Linked DNA regions of Rhinolophus ferrumequinum. The protein of the gene in region 2 purifies or fractionates together with the protein of the main gene of each other region. This does not show direct contact. Links are inferred from orthologs where the notes say so. Each region holds a gene or a part of one and is shown on either strand. Other genes may lie near its edges.

Region 1 (9,944 bases), on a different chromosome or scaffold from region 2:
TGTGAATATTAAAAAAAAACACAAAACACTTTAAATGGGTGGATTGTAGGATATGTGAATTATATCTCAAAGTTTTTGTAAAAAAAAAAAAAAGGAGAGGATCCTAAAGAATGGAGAAAGTGGGTATTAACCACTCTTTTGAGAAATTTAGTAACTTCTCAAAACTTTTCAGAGCGCTAAGAAGCTCTTTAAGGAAGGTTTTTGAGATGAGGGAGACCTGGGTGTATCTTCAGGCAGAGGGGAGGAGCCAATGAAGAATAACTTTGAGGCATTCGGAACATAAGACTTTCCTACAGATAAAATACAGAAAGACAAATACCTAATGGGTTTCTTCTGTAGTGAAATGAGCCTTCCGCAGAATAAGTAGGCTGGAACACACTTCCCAGCTGATGGGCGAGGACTTGATTTATATCACTAAAGGAGATGTGCTTGATATTCATCAGTTTTGCGCAGATCTTATGAACAGCATCATTCTCATGAACAAGGAGGGCGTCTGAAGATCGGTACAAGTGGGAAAGAGTCAAAATGGAGTTGTAGTTCTGAACAATAACCTGGAGAGAAAAAGGTCAGAAATAAGAAAGGCAATTAAGAGGTTCGATATTAAGGGCATCCTGCCTAGGATCAAATCCTGGCTCTGTCACTGTCTAGCTGTATGCTCTTGAACAAATTATTTAATCTATTTATGCCTCAGTTTCCTCATTTGTAAAATGGGAATAATAATTATACCTGCTTCCTAGAGTTGTGAAGGTTAATGACAAAATGCAAGGAAAGCACTTAGAACAGTGCCTTGTATATACTAAGGGTTCAATAAACGATGACCATTACTATCACACTTTCTTCCTACATAATTTACAATAGTGACTTATCTCACCTCTGTTTTAGTATTTCTCCTACTAGGCTGGTCAACAAGAAATGGGCCTATATAGAAATTTCCTTGTAATGGAGAGAAATGAAAATTCTTTGAAGGTTGGCAATGGCATGATGCCCCCTAACATGAAGTCAAGGTCCCTGCTTTACATACTAGAGACAGAAGGATTAACTCAGGAATGGATTCCTAAGAGAAAATGCACAATTGTCTTCTTTGAAAATTTTAAAAACAGGGACACTTCATTTGTTTGGAAAAGTTAAAGCAAAGTTAAATGAATTGTTCACGCAACTACCATATTGCATAATCACTCCTGACACAGTAACTTAGCATTTCCAAAGAAAGGGTCAGATCAGTCTTTTACCTACATTGATTTCAACAGCAAGGAATACAAAATATAAAAAATTCAGTTCATACCTCACCAGTTCCATAAGGCCATATAATCTGATTCATTTTCAAAGAGCTGGAGTACTGATCCTGTAAATTCTGTGTAACAAAGGCTCCTAGTCCTGATCCTGTACCCCCAGCCATACTCATTATGATGAAAAAACCACTCAAAGAGTCACATTTCTCCGCTTCCTTCTGGATTAGGTTCAATATAGGTTCTTCATGCCTGGGTCCATGAACAGAGTAACTATGCAATGCAAAAGGAACAAATGCAAACACCTTTCAATTTAACCAGAGAGATGCAATGCAGAATAGAGAAGTCTTTTTAAACCTAGGGAAGTGAACTAACTCTCATGAAAGGCACAAAATTTAAAATATTCAAGTTAAAGATATTTAACAGGTAGATAGGACTGTTAAGAGAGTGAATTTACTGGGTACAGAAATTCTCTTTTATAGGCCACTCCTTTAGCTGTAGACTTCAATTACCAGGTAGTTCTGTAAGTTTATGGTACAACATAATATTCGATGTTCTTAACAATACACCTTAAACAGTGGTTCTTGAAATTTGCTGCACATTCCAATCACCTAAGGAAGCTTTGAAAAATCCCAACATCCAGGCTTCATGTCAAACCAATTAAATCAGAATTTCTCGAATTGAGCCCTAGGCACTGAAATTTTCCAAAGAACCCAGGAAACACTACTGCCCTGCTGTATCCCATATTAGCTGGAATACCTGCCAGATAAAGATATTATATTGATAATAAGTTAGTTGGCAGAACGACTGTGAAGAAGTGGAAAACCCTACTGCAAGAGATCCTTGGTTTCATCATTGTTTGGACCTGAAGCATATACATACGTAAGGTAGAATTTCTTTTGAGTGAAGTCACACCCTAAATTTTAAAATAGCAATTTAAAGATTCTTTGCTCAGTATATCAACTTTTTACTTGTAACTACACTATTTATTAATTGACTATGTAGCTGTACCTAAACTGAAAATCATGAGTTATTCTTACCCATATGCCCAGTTGTTTCCAGAACCTTGTTTTTGACAGAAGCCTGAATGCTGGCCATATTTCCATCGGCCAGACTGGGCAGCCTTTAGTAATGTTTGATTGATAACTTTAGGTTCCATGTCAACAAGTACAGCTCGAGCAATTGGAACTAGAGAGGGGGGAAAAATATTTCACAGTCTTATTTGGGTTAACACAGAGCATAAACTCCTAAGTACAAAAAAAAACCCCAAAGGTTGAGGATACAAAGATCTGTCACACTGCTTAGAAATTGAGGTGGGCAGCAGCAGGTATGTACAGATGGTTCAGAATGCCTAGCATTCTGCTAAGCAGGATGAATCAGTGTGGGCTAAAATAATCACTGGGTCAGGTCTACAAACATCTGTTGCATTCTTACATAATGTAACATGTACTGTGCTGGGAACACAGAGATGAAGATCAATCCAGCCCTAGAAGGACTAGTGGGAGAAATGAAAGACATCGACGCTTAATCACTATATCAGGTGATATGACCCATGACGAATCTACAGTGATAGAATAGCATATTCAGAGGTACAAAATACCCAGGGCACACAAGCAGTTTAGGATTGTTGAAGCAAAAGATGGAGAAGGAGGGGGTAGAAGTGATGGACGGAGATGGAAAGCAGGCAGGACTCAGATCTTGAAAGTCCTTGTATGCAATCAAAGCTTGAAATTTATCTTTTACGTTATGTGAAACCACTGAAAATGTTCAAGCAGGGGAGGAACAGTCAGATTTAAAAAAAAAATTTTTTTAATACAGCAGTGTGGAGGATAGCTATGATAGACACAAGAGTGTAGGCAGGGAAACTCAGAAGGACTGTCTTGAAACAATCCAGGTGAGAGAAAACAAGAGCCAGAACTAAGTCCATGACAGTGAAGATGGAAAGGCAAGAAGAATTTCAAGAGATATGGAGGAAGTAAATTAAGCAGATGTCTGATGTTATGTGTATAGTAGGAGCCCAAGTTTTAAAGGAAAGATAATGAATGATCTTGGGTATGGAGATGTTGAATTTGAGGTACACATGGGAGATGCAGGTGAGTATGTCCACTAATCAGTCGGCAGCTTGGAAGAGAAGCTAGGCTAGAGATTTGAGAGTCACCAGTGTAAAAGATGTAGCACTTAGAAGAATAATTGAAATTGCCTAGAGAGAACTATACAAATCAGGACAGAGAGCCTGCGGTGCAACCACTGGAGAAGAAAACTTCAGACAGTAAGGAGGAGTTTTATAATTAATGTTATCAAATCCAGTAGAAAAGTTAAGTGAATTAAAACAAAAATAGTCATTGGATCTGGTAATTAGGAGATCATTGGGAACTTTTCTCAGAGCAGCTTTAGAAGTGAAGAAGGGCAGAAGCAGGATTATAGTTGGTTAAAGAGGGTTCTCCTTTGAGAATCTTAGATGAGAAGCAAAGGTAAGAGAAGAAAAAAGCTATAGACGAGAGATACGTTTTGTTTGTTTTTAGATTGGCAGGGTCTGAGCATGCTCTTGTGCTGAGGGGAAGATGCCACGGTAGGGGCAAATGTTGTTAACATAGAAACAAAGAGTCAAGAGCAAAGTCATTCCCTAGTAAGATGGGAAAGTATGGGGTTCAGACACCACGTGGATGGCCTGGCCTTGAAGTGGTTGGTTATGTCAGAGTAAAAGAGGACTGTGGACCACACATACCTCCATTTTCCTCCTCACTGAAGAATCTTTCTTTGCAAGACGCTTGATATGCTTCATTCTCTCTTTTAGAGCAGAGTCTCTGGGGACAGTGTGAGTCACTAAATAAAGCATCAAACACTTCAAAACCAATCTGATTGCCACACTGACCAAGTTGCAGTGTTACTATTGACATGTTGAGGCCTGACAAACTAGGCCTATTTCCTCAAAAAAGTGAGGAACCAACCTGTAATAGAAAAAAGATAGGTGTTGAGAACTACATTACTAATAAAGAATAAAATGCTATATGTTAATATACATCAATAAAATATATATAATTTTAAAATGCCATATATGTATATGGTTTTATAGATGAAATAGCTATGTTGTCTAAGATGCCAATCATTCAAGGAAATTATTCTCTTTCTCCATATGGCTTTGGGATTTGGGATTTACTGTACCCAAATCCATTCACACACAGCTCAATAGTTTCCAAAATCTGATTTCTAATCACTATATTCCTATGTATACATTTAAACAAAACAAGATGAATGCTAGTTGAAGGAATAAATACTATACATTTCCCACCATAGGAACACACAGAATGCAGAAATTAGTTCAGAAGTTAGTACATGTACTTAACATTAATTCTCTTCTGAATAATGACTTTCTTCACCAATCACCTTTCTGGCCTGGTAACTACAGTAACACTTATAAGGAAGACTTTGTGTTTAGCTCAGGTAGGACAGCAAGGAAGATGAAGCTTGGAAAAACTAGACCAGATGAAACATTAGAGCAGGTCTTCATTATTTTTTAACAATGAAAAGAAACAAGTTTTGGTGAACGCCTCACACCAGGTCTATGCAGCAGTGAAAAGAGCAGTGGCTTGTGAGTCACACTCTGCAGTTACAATTTTCAAACAACCCTGCAAACTAGGTACCATGATTCTCATTTTATAGATAAGGAAACTGAGTTTCTGAAAGGTTATGTGACTTTCGCAAGGCTACTGAACTAGTAAATAGCAAAACCAAGACTCCCTTTCCCCACCAACCCTAGGAGTTCCCCATTAAGCCCACTCACTGACAGCCCCAGGACCAGCCGTTTCTATCCTGTTCAAACTTCAGAGGACCATCATGCGCATGCTCACTTTCAACACCCAAAAAGCTATGGAAAACGAATGCGCATGTTCCACAAACGAAGAGTGTTGTGGGCTTTTTTTTTTTCCCTATTCAGAAAGGTTAATTACGCATGTTCAATTTCAATTTATCAACTTCAGACACGTTACGCATGCTCACTGTCCATCAAAAGCTTTAGCTGACAATGCGCATGGTCTAGATTCCAAGAGAGGCTTCGGCTGGGGTTCTGCGCATGTTTCTGCCCGTACCTGGCTCTTGGGGATAGTTCTACGCATGTTCATTGCCCACAGTTCGGCTTCAAAAAACCCTGTACGCATGCTCTAGCGCTGAATTTGAGGAGCAAGTCTAAGGCCTAGGCGCAGACGCACTGAGCCTAAGCAGCCGGTGATGGCGGCAGCGGCGGCAGTGGCTGCGGCGGGTCCGGGCCCATGAGGCGACGACGGAGGCGGGACGGCTTTTACCCAGCGCCGGACTTCCGAGACAGGGAAGCTGAGGACATGGCAGGAGTGTTTGACATAGACCTGGACCAGCCAGAGGACGCGGGCTCTGAGGATGAGCTGGAGGAGGGGGTGAGGCCCGAGGTCCCGGGGGGCCCGAGGTGACAGGGCTGGGGCGGCGGCGCGGGCCCTGGAAGTCGGGCGCGTCCGAGAGCGCAGAGACCCAGGGGGCGCGAGAAGTCTCCAGGAGGAGCTGAAGCGCCGCGCGGCCCGAGGCAGGGGAGCGGGCGGGGCGGACCTGGCCCTAGGTGTGAGGCCGCTGCGGGGCTCGCAGGTGCAGGTCGCGCCCCTAGCTCTAGATCAGCGCAGCCCGGAGCAGTCTGTGGAGCGAACGAAAAGGCGCGTGGTCGATTTCTCCAGCTGTTCGACTTGAGTGTGGCGGGCCGTGAGTGGTGTAGCGTGTGTTGGGGGAGGGGGACTGCGCTTGCTGGGTGTCCCGTAAGTGCAGGTGAAGTGCGGAAGGGTTTCCCTCCGAGTGTAAGATTTCAAGCATTAAATCTTCAGACCTCCCACAACCACCTCTCTTCTCGGCCTGTCGCTTCTCTCCTAGGAAGCGCTCAGCTGTTAGAAGTGACAGCTGAAAACTTCTGTCGGGAGTAGCGCTGCCTCTGCTGTTACAGCCACCAGGAGTTTTATTTCGGGAGCAAGGGGGCTCTGCTGCATCTTCCAGGGTTTGTTTGTTTGCTTTTTTTTTTTAACCCCCTTCCGTGTGACTTTTTAAAAAACGCTTTTATAACGACACACGGTGTTTGTAACTTACATTTCCCCCAGTTGAAGATGTCTACATTTTTTCAAAATACTTTCTGTAATTTTGGGGTGGAAAAAAACCCAGCGTTGACAGCTGTGATTTGGCTTGCCAAAAATAAATTGCTTGAACGGAGACTTGTGAATGGTGGTGTGAGGGCTTTCCTTGCTGTAATTTAGGGTGCTAAATTTAGAATTGTTTTTCCTAATGCATAGCTTGGTTTCACCTTTGCTGTCTTAGTAGCTTGTTATTCTTTATGGAATAGCACTCGTATTTCAAGACAAATTTATTGAAAAAATCACAAATTATACCTAAGTTAAAGAATGGTGTTGTTATACAAAATAACTAATTCTGGGCAATTGATCATGTATAATCTCGTGGTAATTTAGAGTCTAAATTCCATTGTCTAGATGAGTACACATGGGTTGATGACTGATGTAAGATGTTTGTTCTAACTACATAAGGGGCTTCCCTTTCTTTCCCTCACTCATTTTTCTTCCTCTGGCAAGTAAGTTGTGCCCTGCTTGTTGACAAAAGATTGAGATGCTATGTATACAGAACTTTGGAAGCTTGATGAAACTAACTGGGCTAAAATAGTTGATCTTTTCATAATCAAATGAGTCTAAATCAAAATTACACAGTTTGGAAGGTGGGTATTGAGATGTGTATTTTTTAATATGTTTGCATATGGAATTCCAGTTTGCCTCTTAATTGAACATGTGATACACTAATTACAATTGGAAACAAAATGGGATTACTTTCATTACATATATAATCCTCTCATCAATTATATTGGCTCCATATGGCAGTGGCTTTGAAGCAGGGCAGGGGAGAAAACTTGATAGGAAGGATGCTTTATAAAATCTTCATTAGGTGAACTGATAGAATTTCCAGGCCATGGGTTCATCAGGAGAAGTTAAAGGAGTTGGAAGTAAAATACTGTATTAAGATTCCTGTTATGAACTGGAACCTCGTAGGATTTGGGCCTATTCCTGGACATTTGTTTTGCTGGGTACAAGCAAATAGGACTGTGAGAGGGTGTGGAAGAGGAGGCCAGAAAAATTGATGGAAATAGGAAAGAGAAAGAAATGTGGCCATTATTCTAGGGAGAGGAACTTTGGGGAAAGAGCAAAGGTAATTAAAGAGGACTTTGAGAAAGCTTTCGGCAAATTATATTATATTTTAGCAATGCTTTTGGAGTTGAAAATGTTTCTTTTGAGTGTGTTATTCTAATAGGTGCCTCACGGTGGAAAAGAGTTGGAGTGGGATTGGGCTGGCCACCCAAGGAGATTAAGTGACATCCAGGTTCCTCTAAAATAAAATTGTAAAATTTTGAAAAAATGAGACAAGTTTAGATTTTTGGAAAATCGGGCTTTTGTGAATTTATAATTATATAAGTAATATTCTGGCTGCTTGTGAATTTATAATCTTTAGTTTAACACAAACTTTTTAAAACATTGGTATCATATCAGATACCATTGGTAACATATCAGAGTAGCCTCCCTTCTTCGTTTGATAGTAAGGAAACTGAGGCATAGGCCAGAGAGATGATTGCCCAAGGCCATATAGGTAACTGGTGGTAGTGTCTTGTGACTCAATTCAGCAAGCTTCACTGTACAGCTTTTTCATTGCATTTATTAGTCTTGTTCATAATGTACCTCTTTGTGGTGTGTCAAAGTGAATTCAGATCCTTCCAGGTATGCTCACTGACGATGTGACCTAGAACAAATTGCTTAATCTCTAACACTTTTTTTTCTCTGTAAAATGATGATTGCATTAGATAAAGTGTATACAGTACTCCAAAATATCATGGCATATTAAGCAGTTAGCTAGTTCTTGGAAATAAAGCTTGTCAGTGCTACGCATTGCCAAGGAACCAATCATTCAAGTTTACTCTCCTCTATGCCTAGAGACTTAATAAATACAGTTATACTAGAAGGGCTGTACTTTTAGAGCTTTGTATCTTTTTTTTTTTTTAAATTAAATCATTGGTCCTATTTAGAGATACATGCCTACACTGAGTCGGTCTGTATTAGTAAGTAATATGTATTTACATAGCATAGTTAATTCTTCAGTGAATAAAAGATGAGGAGAGTAATTTAAAGTTGAATGTCTGCTACTTAAGTACAAAAAAAGACCCTGATTGAATACCTCAGAGGACTATTAAAAACCAATGGATAAGAGGGGGGGGGGGGGGTGTGTGTGTGTGTGTGTGTGTGTGTGTGTGTGTGTGTGTGTGTGTGTTGGCGGGGGGGGGGGTCTTTTTGGGTTTTTGTTTTCACTGGTGATGGTATAATTTGGGGACAGTGAGTTGTAAGGGAAAGCTTTTTTCTAGAGGTTTTCATTAGATTTTGAAAATGTTGGAAATCTCTGCTTTCTGTGGAGACAAGTTAAAAGAGTAATAGAAAATTGAAATGCAATATTAAAAATCCTCAATTTTTACTCTACTAATTCAATATTTGAAATAGTTGTGAGCTTACTGCACGAGTTTTAGATTGGGATATCAGATTTTTATTGAGCGAAAAGTATAAAAAATTTTAGTGCTTTGAAAAACAGTGCGATATAGACAGTATGTATTCAAACATTCATGATTATGAAGTGTTATAGGAAAAAAAACTCATTATCACTGCTTCAACTTACCAAAAAGCATTTTGAAATAGCCCAAGATTTTGGGCAGGTTTACTCGTTTTTCCCAATTCCTCTGAATTACTTAATCTTATAAGGAAATGTCTGTGAACAGACAGGCAAGTGGATATAAGATTTAATGATATAAGATTTGGATTAAGAATATTTCACCCATTCTGTAACAATTTATTTAATTTTTTTATAAAATGTGCTTTTTTATTGGGATTTGAGGCACATTAACTTAAATTTATAAACAATTTTAATTTAAAACTCTGGAAATATTCATTCTGGTGGGTTAGTTTGAAACACTATCTTGTACCTTAGATGAGCAGAATTCCACTTTGTCAGCCATAGTGGCATACAAAAAAGTATTGGTTAGTACGTTAAGTTTAAGGCAACGAAAAAAATCTGAAAAAAAGAGATTCCTGTGAAAAAGAGTTGTCAGTATGTATTATATAATGTTAGTTTATTGCTTCTGGTGTGAGACTTTTCTAAAAGTAACTTTGAGTAGCAGAAAAGAATTGTGCCTCAAATGCTTCTGCTCTAGAAGGTAACGGTAGGAAGTTATAAACACAGATGCAGGTTATAAACACATAGGCCTGGCCGGCTCTGGAAGTGAAACACAGCCATGGGGCATGTATTTCTAGGTAGGTTCAAAGTCGTGGTTCAGTGTTAAGTACTTTGTAGCCTTTAATTTAGAATTAAATGAAACTAACATTAAAGAAACAACAATTATATAATACCAGTTTTATTATAGCTGAGAGAAGTTAGTCTTTTGTCTTTAAAGTGATGATGCCTCATAGGTGATTTTATGAAATATCAGAGACAATAAAACCTTTAGCCATAATCACTGCTACACCACCCCCAAGAAACTGTATCAAGGTGAAACTGAGAATTTTTTCCCTTGATACTGCCCCATCCTTAAGCTTCAGTCTAATATGTACATCTCTGGTGTTAGATGTCATCTTAACTTGCTCACACCTTGAGCAAGTTATGACTAAAAACTTGTGTTAT
Region 2 (10,049 bases):
ACTGATTCCTGGGAATAACGGACGATTTTAAATGAATTAAAGACTTGAGTTTAAGAACGCTGAATGCATACACAGAAGAAGGTCTTTCACCAGGAATCAGATAAAAAACCCCAGTGGCCTGGGGACTTCCCTGACCCATGTCCATGGCAAGCCCACCACCAGGCACTTGCTTCCCAGTCAGCTTAAAACAGAGCAAACAACTTGTTACCCAGAGTTGGAAGACAACATGGGGCTGACCTGCATTTAAACAAGGACCTGGAGAGCACACGAGCTCAGGAGAGCGTGCACGTAAACCCTGCACCTGACTGGTGGTCTCTCCGGTGAAATGAACTAGCTCACAAGGTTGGGAAATACATCAGCCGTTTACAGACATGAAACCCGTGAAAGTTTAGGACAATGCTTGGAACACAGTAAGCAATGTTTTCGTAACTACACTCAAAAACTCAAGATGTATTATGTTCATGTATCTGCTTTTAAAATTAAGATCACAGAACCCAAATCTTAACTACTCAAACTTCTTAGAATTGCTTCATTTCCATACAATGGTCAGCTTGGATAACAGAAAGAGACGGAAAGATAGGTGTAAAAAGGAATAGAGAAAAGAACCATGAGAGCAACCAACACAAACAGTCTGGGAAGCAGACTGGAGGCCAACTGGTTTGCCTGGGCGATTCCATTCTACATGCCCACCGCCATCTACCTGACAGCGACCTGTCTCTGGCCTTCAGTCCTTCTGACCATAACGCTCCAGCACCACAGAAATGCCTGACCTGTTGCTGGAGATGGGCACTCGGAGGCCAAATGGAGTATCAGCTGAAATAAAGCGACCTTATCTTTTCAGTATAAATTCTGTACAAATCCTAAACCCAATTAGTTAGCTTGTCTAGAAAGCTGTGCATTTACAAGGTGCTGGGTTGGGAGCGAGAACACACACCTTTCAGAGCTGCCCCAAAGCACACTCACGAGTGGGCTGCAGTAGTCCGTCAGCTAGCAGGAGCACAGGTCATCTTAAACAACAGCTGGGGAACAGTGCCTCGTGTTCTGGAACCCAACTGTCACTCTCATTTCTTTATTATACTCTTAAGAATTTCAACAGGCCAAACTGGACACAAAGTATTTTTTGCTGCATTTCTTTCTCAAAAGTTAAGAAGAATTCTCTCCACTTTTGTGTTTGAAATTTTCCGTAAGTTGAAAAATCTTTCAAAAAGCAAAGCATCCTTTAATTTCAAGAGGCATGCCCTGTTATAAACTATTTCTAATTAATTTCAACCCTTTATGAATGATACTGAAAATGTTACCTAAAGAATTGCCACTTAAATTTCTAAGAAGTTAAAATTGAGACCAAGCAGAGGGAAGAGGGAAAGAGGCAGGTTCGAGTCACAGCAACGGAGGCATCTACCCCAGAGACTGGAGTCAGTCCCTGGGTTCTTTTTAAAGTCCACTTACTATACAATTAAGTGGCCTGTTCAGCCTGATCTGAGTTTACAAGGTTCACAATAAAAAGCCCAGTTTTTATACAAACTGTGGACGCCTTCCCACAACCTTAAAGTTCTTTACAGGAACAAGAATTCTTTTTAAGAAGCTGCCCGTGCACAGTAAGGGAATAGATGCAGTCACTATACGTGAAGAAACACATTTCCATCATCACTACCAGCCTACACCGCTGGTTACTCCTGACTGATGGATTCCCAATCTGGCTCCCAGAGAAACAGAAAGAAGCAATTCTCAAACTAAATAGCAGATATAAACATAAATACTATTTAATGAACTAAAAAGACACTTAAGAGTCAAAACTTTTATATATGTTTGGCCAAGCACCATAAGCAGTTGAAAATTAAAAGTGAAAGGATGGTTGTAATTCAGACACAACTGTGCAAAAGGGCCAGTGTTTCAGAGAGGAGAGGCTGCTCTGCTCTCAAGCGCTGGACCTCATGGCACCTGTGAGAGGCGCTCGCTGCACGAGACTCAGTCCATTCTCAAAAGAAGCGGTACCTTGGGCATCTCAGCTCCCCTACAGGGGGTTCTCATGAAACACAAAACAGACTTGAACTACTGACCACAACCAAGTGGACTCAAGAAAACTGAAGGTTTGCTTAGTTTTAATTCCTTAGGACCAGGAGCCTCACAGGTCACTCTGGCAAAAACATGACGATTACATGGGCTCCAAAAGGTCTGCCCAGCTGTCACCTAACCTGGCTGGCCTTGGGCTCATGTTAACATTCTCTGTCACACACAATTTTGGAAATAATTCACGTTAAAATCTTGTGTGAATTAGATGTCTTCAAATAATGCTTTATAAAAAAATCAATTGCAGAGTAAATACTGGAGGGCTCAAAATGGCCTTTGAAAATCAAAACTTAGATTTCAAAATACACCAGAAGTCGTGTGGTAAAAACAACACTGGTCTGGGCAGGGACGTCCCCGCATCACTGTCTCCCTGTCAGTTCCCAGCCACCTGCTTGGTGGGAAGCCTTCCCAGGGCTTCACTAGCTTGTGGGGGCTTTCCTGCTTCTCATGCTAACGTGCCTTTTACCTTATGAAACACAGTGACAATAACAGGTAACCCTTTAGAATCATGTTTATAAGTTGGCAAATCTATGTTGGTTTTCTAAACTTTTTCATTTTGCTTGACATTCTTTCCGATTCTGACTCAATCTCAGTGCGATCAGACACATCTCCAATCTTTGTGTCTGAACACGGGACACCTCATTTTCTTGGTGTGTCACTGCTGGCGCCACCTTCCCGTTTTACTATAGAGCAGTCAGTACAGTGATGTGCTGCAAGCCTGTCGAGTTCAAACGGCTAAAAACAAAACAGAAGCAAACGATACAGTAAGATCAACTATCATCAAGTCACTTCAGAAGACAGGCTGTCAGGCAGGAAACAGAAAGAAACGTCTGTGAGTCTAAAGGAGGGCAGAGCACGGCGTGGTCAACACCCCCAAACCCTGGAGAAACGACCTGCCGGAGGAGGAGGGGACCTGCTCCTGGGCTGACCGAAAGAGGGGCCCGGAGAGGAACGTGGCCGAACGGCCTGGCACAGACCCACGAAAGGGCTCCACGAGGGCACAACCTTCCGCCGGGCAGAGACAAGGCACCCACAGCCTGTTCTGGGGACGGCATCACACCCACCGCTGAGGGGACCGCCCGGGGGTGTTCCAGGACCCGGACAGCCGTGGCGGACTCTCAGGGCACCCAGACTTGCTGCCGGGGAACTGTCGCCAGAGACCGCGCCGCTCGTGGGGCGTCCTGCTCCGCGCGACCCTAAATGCCACACCGCCGCACGCACGGCCTCAGCGCCCGCTACACGCCTCTGCCCTCGACCTCCAAACACCTGGCCGCAGGAATGGCCGGCTCCCCAAGTTGTCTTCATCCTGCCCCCCCCACTCCTGGAGAAAAGGCAGTCCGGGCTCCCACGGAAAAGCCTCCCTACGTGCGGGACCACAGGTGTAGAATGGAGACGCCCCCCGCCGACTCCCGCGGCGCACCGGGACCCGGGCCGCGTCCGGGGCCTCGAGCACCTTCGCGCAGCCAGGCCCAGCCGCCCTACCTTCCTCGCTCACGTCGTCCACAAAGTCCTCGGGGTCGCTGAAGGAGGGCTCGTCCGCGTCGCCGTCCTCAGCCGCGCCGCCCAGCTCCTCACCCGCTCCGTCGGACCGGGCCTCAGCTGCCGCGTCCCTGGCCTGTTCCCCAGGGGCCTCGCCCACGGCAGGGTCCGGGGACTCCTCGGGCGACTGCAGGGACGGGGCGGGGGTCGCGCTTGCCGCTTCCTCCCCGTCGGCCGCGGGCTCGGCCGGCACTTCAGGCCCCGGCCCGGCCTCTGCTTCAGCCTCAGCCTCCGCCTCCGCGTCCTCTCCGCCCGCCGCCTCCTGCGCGCCGAGCCCCGCGAGCCGCGGCGGCTCCTCGGCCGGTGGCGGCTCGGCGTCCAGCTGCTGCTGCTGTCCGGGCTCGGCCCGCTCCTCGGCCGCCTCCGGCGCCGCCACGTTCTCTGAGTCCTGCATGAGCCCGCCGCTGCCGCCTCGCCCGGCCTCGCCGCGCTTCCGACTCTCCCAGGCCGCACCGCGCCTACCGCCGGGCCATGTGCGTGCGGCGGGGCATCCCACGAGGATCAGAGGGGTGCGCGTCCACGCCCTGCTGCCTCACAGCGTGGCCGGAGGAACTCAGAGGGCAGAAGTGCGTCTACCAGTGATTACGATCGTGCTCCCCTGACAAGTACGTGCTCAGTTCCAATCACCACAGTTCCTCGGCTCAACGTACAAACTCATTGGGAACTATAACCACCCTACTTTTGGTAGAGGATGGTTTCGCCCAATATGGCAGCCACTCTCGTCCTTCTCCCGTCGGGCGCTACGGCGAAGGACTAAACTATTTATGACGCCGATCGGAGGTACCAGAAGTCAGCTTAGTATTCAGAATTGTGTGGAAGCATAGCTCAAAGATTAATACTAGAAAAAATTGTAAGTTCAACAAACTATTTTGGTTGTGATGTCTCAGCCTTTCACCGGGCAGTTTCGCTTACATTACTGAGTCCCCCCCTTGACATGTCGGTTTTTAGACTCGTCTACTGACTGGGCACAAGAATGGACGATTCCAAAATACAAAAGGAATTCCTGGTAAGCCAGAGATGGCCAGCACTCCTAGAAAGACGCTCTCTAGCGCAATACAAAAGTAAATGAGAGTTGCTTTCATCAGGTATGCCCAAGCCCATCGAGGAGGCTGTAATTCCGCCTTTCCCCATTCTGATGGTCACCATGGTTCTGTCCGCAGAAGCCTGGGCCCTCGGACGCGGGAGCGAGCGCGAACCACGTGCTCGGGGCCGGGGCGGGGCCAGGAGCTGGAAGCTGCCCCCGGTGAGTGACAGGAGGCGGCGCGACAAGTCTGGCTCGGGCTTGCTCCCTTCGGAAAGGGTATTCTGTATTTGTGTCTTGTACTTTGCTTATTGCCAGGCGTGAGGGCAACCGCTCGTTGGAGGTGTTTTAATCATCCAAAAAAAGAACTGAGTGGCTGGGGGTAGAGGACCGGGGAGTTGTTTAATGGGAACAGTTTCAGTTTGGGAAGATGAAAAGTTGCCGAGATGGAGAGTGGTGATGGATACACAACATTGTGAATGTATTTAATGCCACAGAACTGTGCAGTGAAAATGGCTAAAATGGTAAATTTAATGTATATTTTACTTCAATTGAAAAGAAAAAAACGTGTTCTTGTGTTGCCTCATACTAAGTTTGAATCTTCCCCATCTTACTTTCAGCTGTAACTTTGGGCAGGTCACTTGACTTCTCTGCCTCAGTTTCCCTGTCTGTAAAATGGGGAGTAACCCATTTTATGTGCGTGGCCTGTGGACTCGTTTCATAAAGACAAACCGATTCCTCCTAGAGGTCAAAGTTTTCCTAATTTCTAGTTTCATCCGCAGTTTTCACAGATCGTTGGGCTCTGCTAGCCCTTTTCTTCTAGAAAGTGCTAACAGTGACAGATGTGATCGAGGATAGACACTCCCGGAAAGCTTGGAAACAGCTGATGTAGGTTTGGCAGCTTCATGCTTTTCAGGGAAGACCTCTGTGGCATGCACGTGCTACATAGAGTGGCCGCTCACTGCTATTCCCCGGTGAAGGGACTTGGCATGTGCTTTAATGCAGGGAAAGTTATGAATGAACTCATGAAAGGGAAAAAAATATGCGTTTTCCAATATCCGCTAGTGCCCTAGAGCGAGCGCCAACACCCTCAGCAGTGCCACCAGCCTCAAAGGTCTGAGAAGGGCTGCAGCTGATATCCAGGTGGTAGGAGCACCCAAGTGGGTACTCTGCTTCACAGGTGCTGTTTTCTTTACGAGTTGCAGGCTTGTGGCTGCCCTGTGGGGAGCAGGTCTATCGGTGCCTTTTTTCCAACAGGCTCAGATGATGGTTAGATGGTTACCATTTTCTAGCAATAGAATATTTTTAAATTAAGGCATGTACATTATTCTTTTAGACATAATGCTATTGAACACTTACTTAATAGCTGACAGTATGGTGTAAAGATAACTTTTATATGCACTAGGAAACCAGAAAATCCTCGTGACTCGCTTTATTGCAGTATCCGCTTTACGGCTGTGGTCTGGAGTGGAACCTGCCGTACCTCAGATCTGCCTGTGCCTGGTCAGAAAAGAATGTATGATTCTTGCCGTCTTAGAATGACTGTGTGATCGGAGCAACGTTTGTGGGTCCAAACATGACAGAAGTGTGTGTAGTGGTGCATTTGTGATAAGTTCACAAATTCTTAGGTACTCCTTTCAAAAGTGGAAGCCAAACCCTGCTCCCCCAAAGTGGGGGTGGACTTAGTCACTTCTAATGAACAGGATGTGGAAGAAGGGATTTTAGGTGATTTCCATGTCTAGGTCCTGAAAATGATGAGCTTCCACCTGGCTTGGGCTTTCTCTCTCTCTCTCTCTCTCTCTCTCTCTCTCTCTCTCTCTCTCTCTCTCTCTGGTCACTGGCCCTGAAAGAAGCTAGCCACCATGTCCTGAGGACACTCAAGCCATCTGAAGGGGCCCCCATTGGAAGAACTGAGCTCCCTACCCTACATTAGCACCAACTTGCCAGACACGTGAAATGGGAGTGGATCCTCCAGCCCCTGTCAAGCCTTCAGATGGCTGCAGCCCCAGCCATGTCTTAGGACAGGCCTCAGGGAAAACCAACCTTGTCGAAACCTTGTCTTGGACTTCCAGCCTCCAGAGCTGTGAGACATAAATTTCTGTTTAAGCCGCTCTCTCTGTGGTGTTTTGTTATGACAGCCCAAGCACACTCATACGATAGGTAACTATGTAAAATACATAGAAAGAGGCCTGGAAGGATATACATTAAACTGAAGACAGGGTTTGATGATGGTAAGTAGTATTGGTGGTGTTGGCCAAAGAAAAATGTTTACTGTAGAATCTAAGTGAATGCTTTGTGACTGTTCACTGTAAAATTCTTTCAATTTTTCTGAGTGTTTGAACGTTTTTATAGTAAATTTTTTGGGGAAAGGACTTTAAGAGGCCCCCCCCCATTGCAACAATTTGAGCCTCAAAAAGACTAAAAACTCAATATGACATTCATAAAGTATGTTTAAATCCTTTTGTTCATAATGCTATTTTTAAAAAATCCTGTTGATCACAGGGGAATATTGCTGGAGCATTGTCTCGTTATTCTGGAAAGAAAGAAAAGACTCAAGCACACCATGGATGAGCCTTGAGGACATTATGCTAAGTGACTAAGCCAGACGGAAAAGGACAAGCACTATATGATTCCAGTCAGATGAGGTCCCTAGAGGAGTCACTTCATAGAGACAGAAGGTAGAACGGTGGTTATTGGGGCTGGGGAGTGAGTGTTTCACAGAGACAGAGTGTCAGTTTGGGAAGATGGAAACTTCTGGAGACGAACGGTGGTGATGGCTGCACAACAATGTGAATGTGCTCAATGCCGCTGAGCTGGACACTTAAAAATGGTTAAGATGATAAATTTTATCTTGTGTATATTTTACCAAAATAAAATGTTTTAAAAAGAAAACAATTCTTGAAAGCCGTCAGTTCTGGTGGTAGTCCTCCTGCCAGCCAGATGGTAACCTGAGCTGGATGCTGAATTGACGGCCTTAGTCTTTTCCTAGGTGAATCGTCCCCTTTGGGTGTTGGGAGTCGTGGACAGAATTAAGGAATCCGCAGAAGAAACACCTCGCCTCCAGGTGGCGATCTCGGCCCGCCCTCTGCAGGTAATGAAATGGGGTTGCTGTTTCACTCCTTACGTTCCTAACATAGTACGCAGCTCTCAGATGAGTTTCTGTCATTTCTGCAGGATATTTGATCTGAACAGGGCTGTCTGTAAGCTCACAGAGCAGGGAGAAGAGTGAAGAGGGATAGGTGGACTCACAGGGTCCATCAAATATGGCCCACATCATGCACGCTTCTCACTTGACCAAGCCTACCTCTGCCTTCTGCAAAGGCTGATTTGCCCCCTCTCTGCAGATGGGGGGCATGGTCAGGAATCAGACAGCCCTTGTTCGACTCCCGGGGACCTTGAGCAAGTTCTTTATCTTCTCTGAGCCTGTTTCCTCAGTGTGACATACATGACCTTGGAACAAGCTCGAGGGGTCCGTAGGGTGGGGAGCGTTTCCGCCTTGGTCCTCGCTGTACCATGCAGTAACAAACCCAGCTGCCAGGCACTGTTCTAAGACATCACACGGTTTCGCTCAACTAGTTCTCAGGCAGCCCCCAGAAGCGGGGACTGCTAATGCCTCCACTCTGAAGGGGGCGTTCCAGCCAGGGCTGGCTTCAGCCGCTCCCCTCCACTGGGCCCTGCCCCACTCGGCTCTGTTCTATCCTGCCACCTCCCTTTTTCAGAAACAAATGCCTTCACTGTGGTCCTTTGTGCAGAGGGTGGTGGGCACTGGAAAGTGGAGTCTGTGGTGATGTATCCCTCATCAGGAGGGCAGAATCGGGATGAGCTGAACAAACATCCACCTGCAGGGCGCCACACCAAGCCCCGGCACGCCTCTCCCTCCCAGCGGGCAGTATCATTCATTACCGAGGGCCCTGCCGGCGCGCCTGCAAACATCAGCGCATTCCGTCTACGGTGTTAACACAGAGAAAAGCAGACCAGCATACATTCATTTACCTCCATCTGGATTCTTACATGTTTACATTTTGCCATGTTTGCCACAGATTTTCTTTCTAAGGGAAAAAAAAAAGGACTGGAAATCTGTTTTCTCTCCCTAAATTTCTCTCTCTAAATTTCATTTCTCTCCCTTCTCGGAAGATGCCATCATGTGTCTATAAGTAACGTGTACCCTGTGTGGCATTTTTAAATGACATCTTTTTGATCTAATTGTAGACTCACGCGCAGTCGTAAGAACTAATGCCAGCTTGCCCTTACGATGCAGAGCTGTAAGGAACGTCACAACCAGTCCTGACGTTGACACGAGCCACCGATCTTCGAATCGCCGGGGTTTTACACAGCCTCACCTGTGTTTGCCTGTTAATGTTCACAATTAGTACAGTAGCCTCTGCAACGCCTTTTCTCCTCGCAAATGATGTTTTCAAGCTCTGTCCATCTTGGCACGTTCTGTTCTAGCTCAAATGTTGCATGAATACCCTGTAATGTATTATTCATTCCACACTGACATCAAAGTGGGTTGTTTGGGGGGTCTTTTTGGTATTATAAATAGTGCCACAATGATGAGTCTTGTATTTGTCTCCACAAGCGATAGTTTAGAGAACATGACCAGAAGTGGAATTTCCGGGTCAGAAGATATGTCTACATTTCAGTTTATTACATTAACAAATTGTCCTCCAAAGTGTCGAAACCAATTTTCACTCTAGCAGCCTAGGAATATTTGTTTCTCCCCATCTCGGGAGCATCTCGTCGTTTGAATTTGCATTTCCCTGATGTAAGTAGATTTCTGATTTAAGCAGAAAAAGAAATTATGAAAAGCAACTGGGATCTCCAGGTGGGCTGGGAAACCGGGTTCAAAGCTCGGCAGATGAAGTGGGCAGCTCATGCCTAGAGCTGGCCGGTGAACACAACGCTGTCCCATCCCTGTGTCCCTGTGTCACAGTCACACATGGCACTGTGGACAGCAGCCCTGGGTGCTGGTGGAAACGCACAGCCTCTGCTGCCCTTAGACGTGGGGCACAGGTCCTGCAGCGGCCATGAGTTGTCACCGTCATGGACGCCCCCTGCTGCATGACCCCAGCTCCCTTCGGCTGTGAGCCTGGCTGGCTGCAGCTGACATGTCACCTTCTGCATGGGAAGAGACTTTCTCAAAAGAGGAATTCTTCAAACATAGAAAGAAAGGCTCAGATGCTGAATGTCCAAAAAATAATTACAAACGTCCAGTATACCTAACTAACAGTAAAGCTGAACATCTTTTTATATGTTTATTGGCCTCTCAGGTTTCCTTTTCAGTGAATTACATATCCTTTGCCTCCTTGGGGTGGTTCATCTTTTTCATATTGAAGTGGATGAGTTCTTTATAAATCCTGGATTATAACCTTGCAACCTATTGTATGTGTTAAAGTACATTCTTCCAGCCTGTGGCTTATCT

What was found.
Region 1: the proteins of EIF3B (region 2) and RPS6KB1 purify together in Homo sapiens (affinity purification with western blotting; 3 studies listed by BioGRID and IntAct, with this or other methods). This does not show direct contact. The link is inferred for Rhinolophus ferrumequinum from reciprocal best matches to the Homo sapiens genes EIF3B and RPS6KB1.

Annotation. Positions count from the first base shown.
Region 1 is NC_046304.1:26,275,589-26,285,532, reverse strand, and holds the start of RPS6KB1 (ribosomal protein S6 kinase beta-1), read left to right. Parts: upstream 1-5,352; 5' UTR 5,353-5,491; coding exon 5,492-5,632; intron 5,633-6,110; exon of another isoform or gene 6,111-6,231; intron 6,232-9,944. Other genes in the region: TUBD1 (tubulin delta chain), read right to left, coding at 320-551, 1,283-1,499, 2,267-2,414, 3,952-4,123. UniProt on the Homo sapiens protein: Serine/threonine-protein kinase that acts downstream of mTOR signaling in response to growth factors and nutrients to promote cell proliferation, cell growth and cell cycle progression.
Region 2 is NC_046307.1:43,407,391-43,417,439, forward strand, and holds the start of EIF3B (eukaryotic translation initiation factor 3 subunit B), read right to left. Parts: upstream 4,043-10,049; 5' UTR 4,001-4,042; coding exon 3,550-4,000; intron 1-3,549.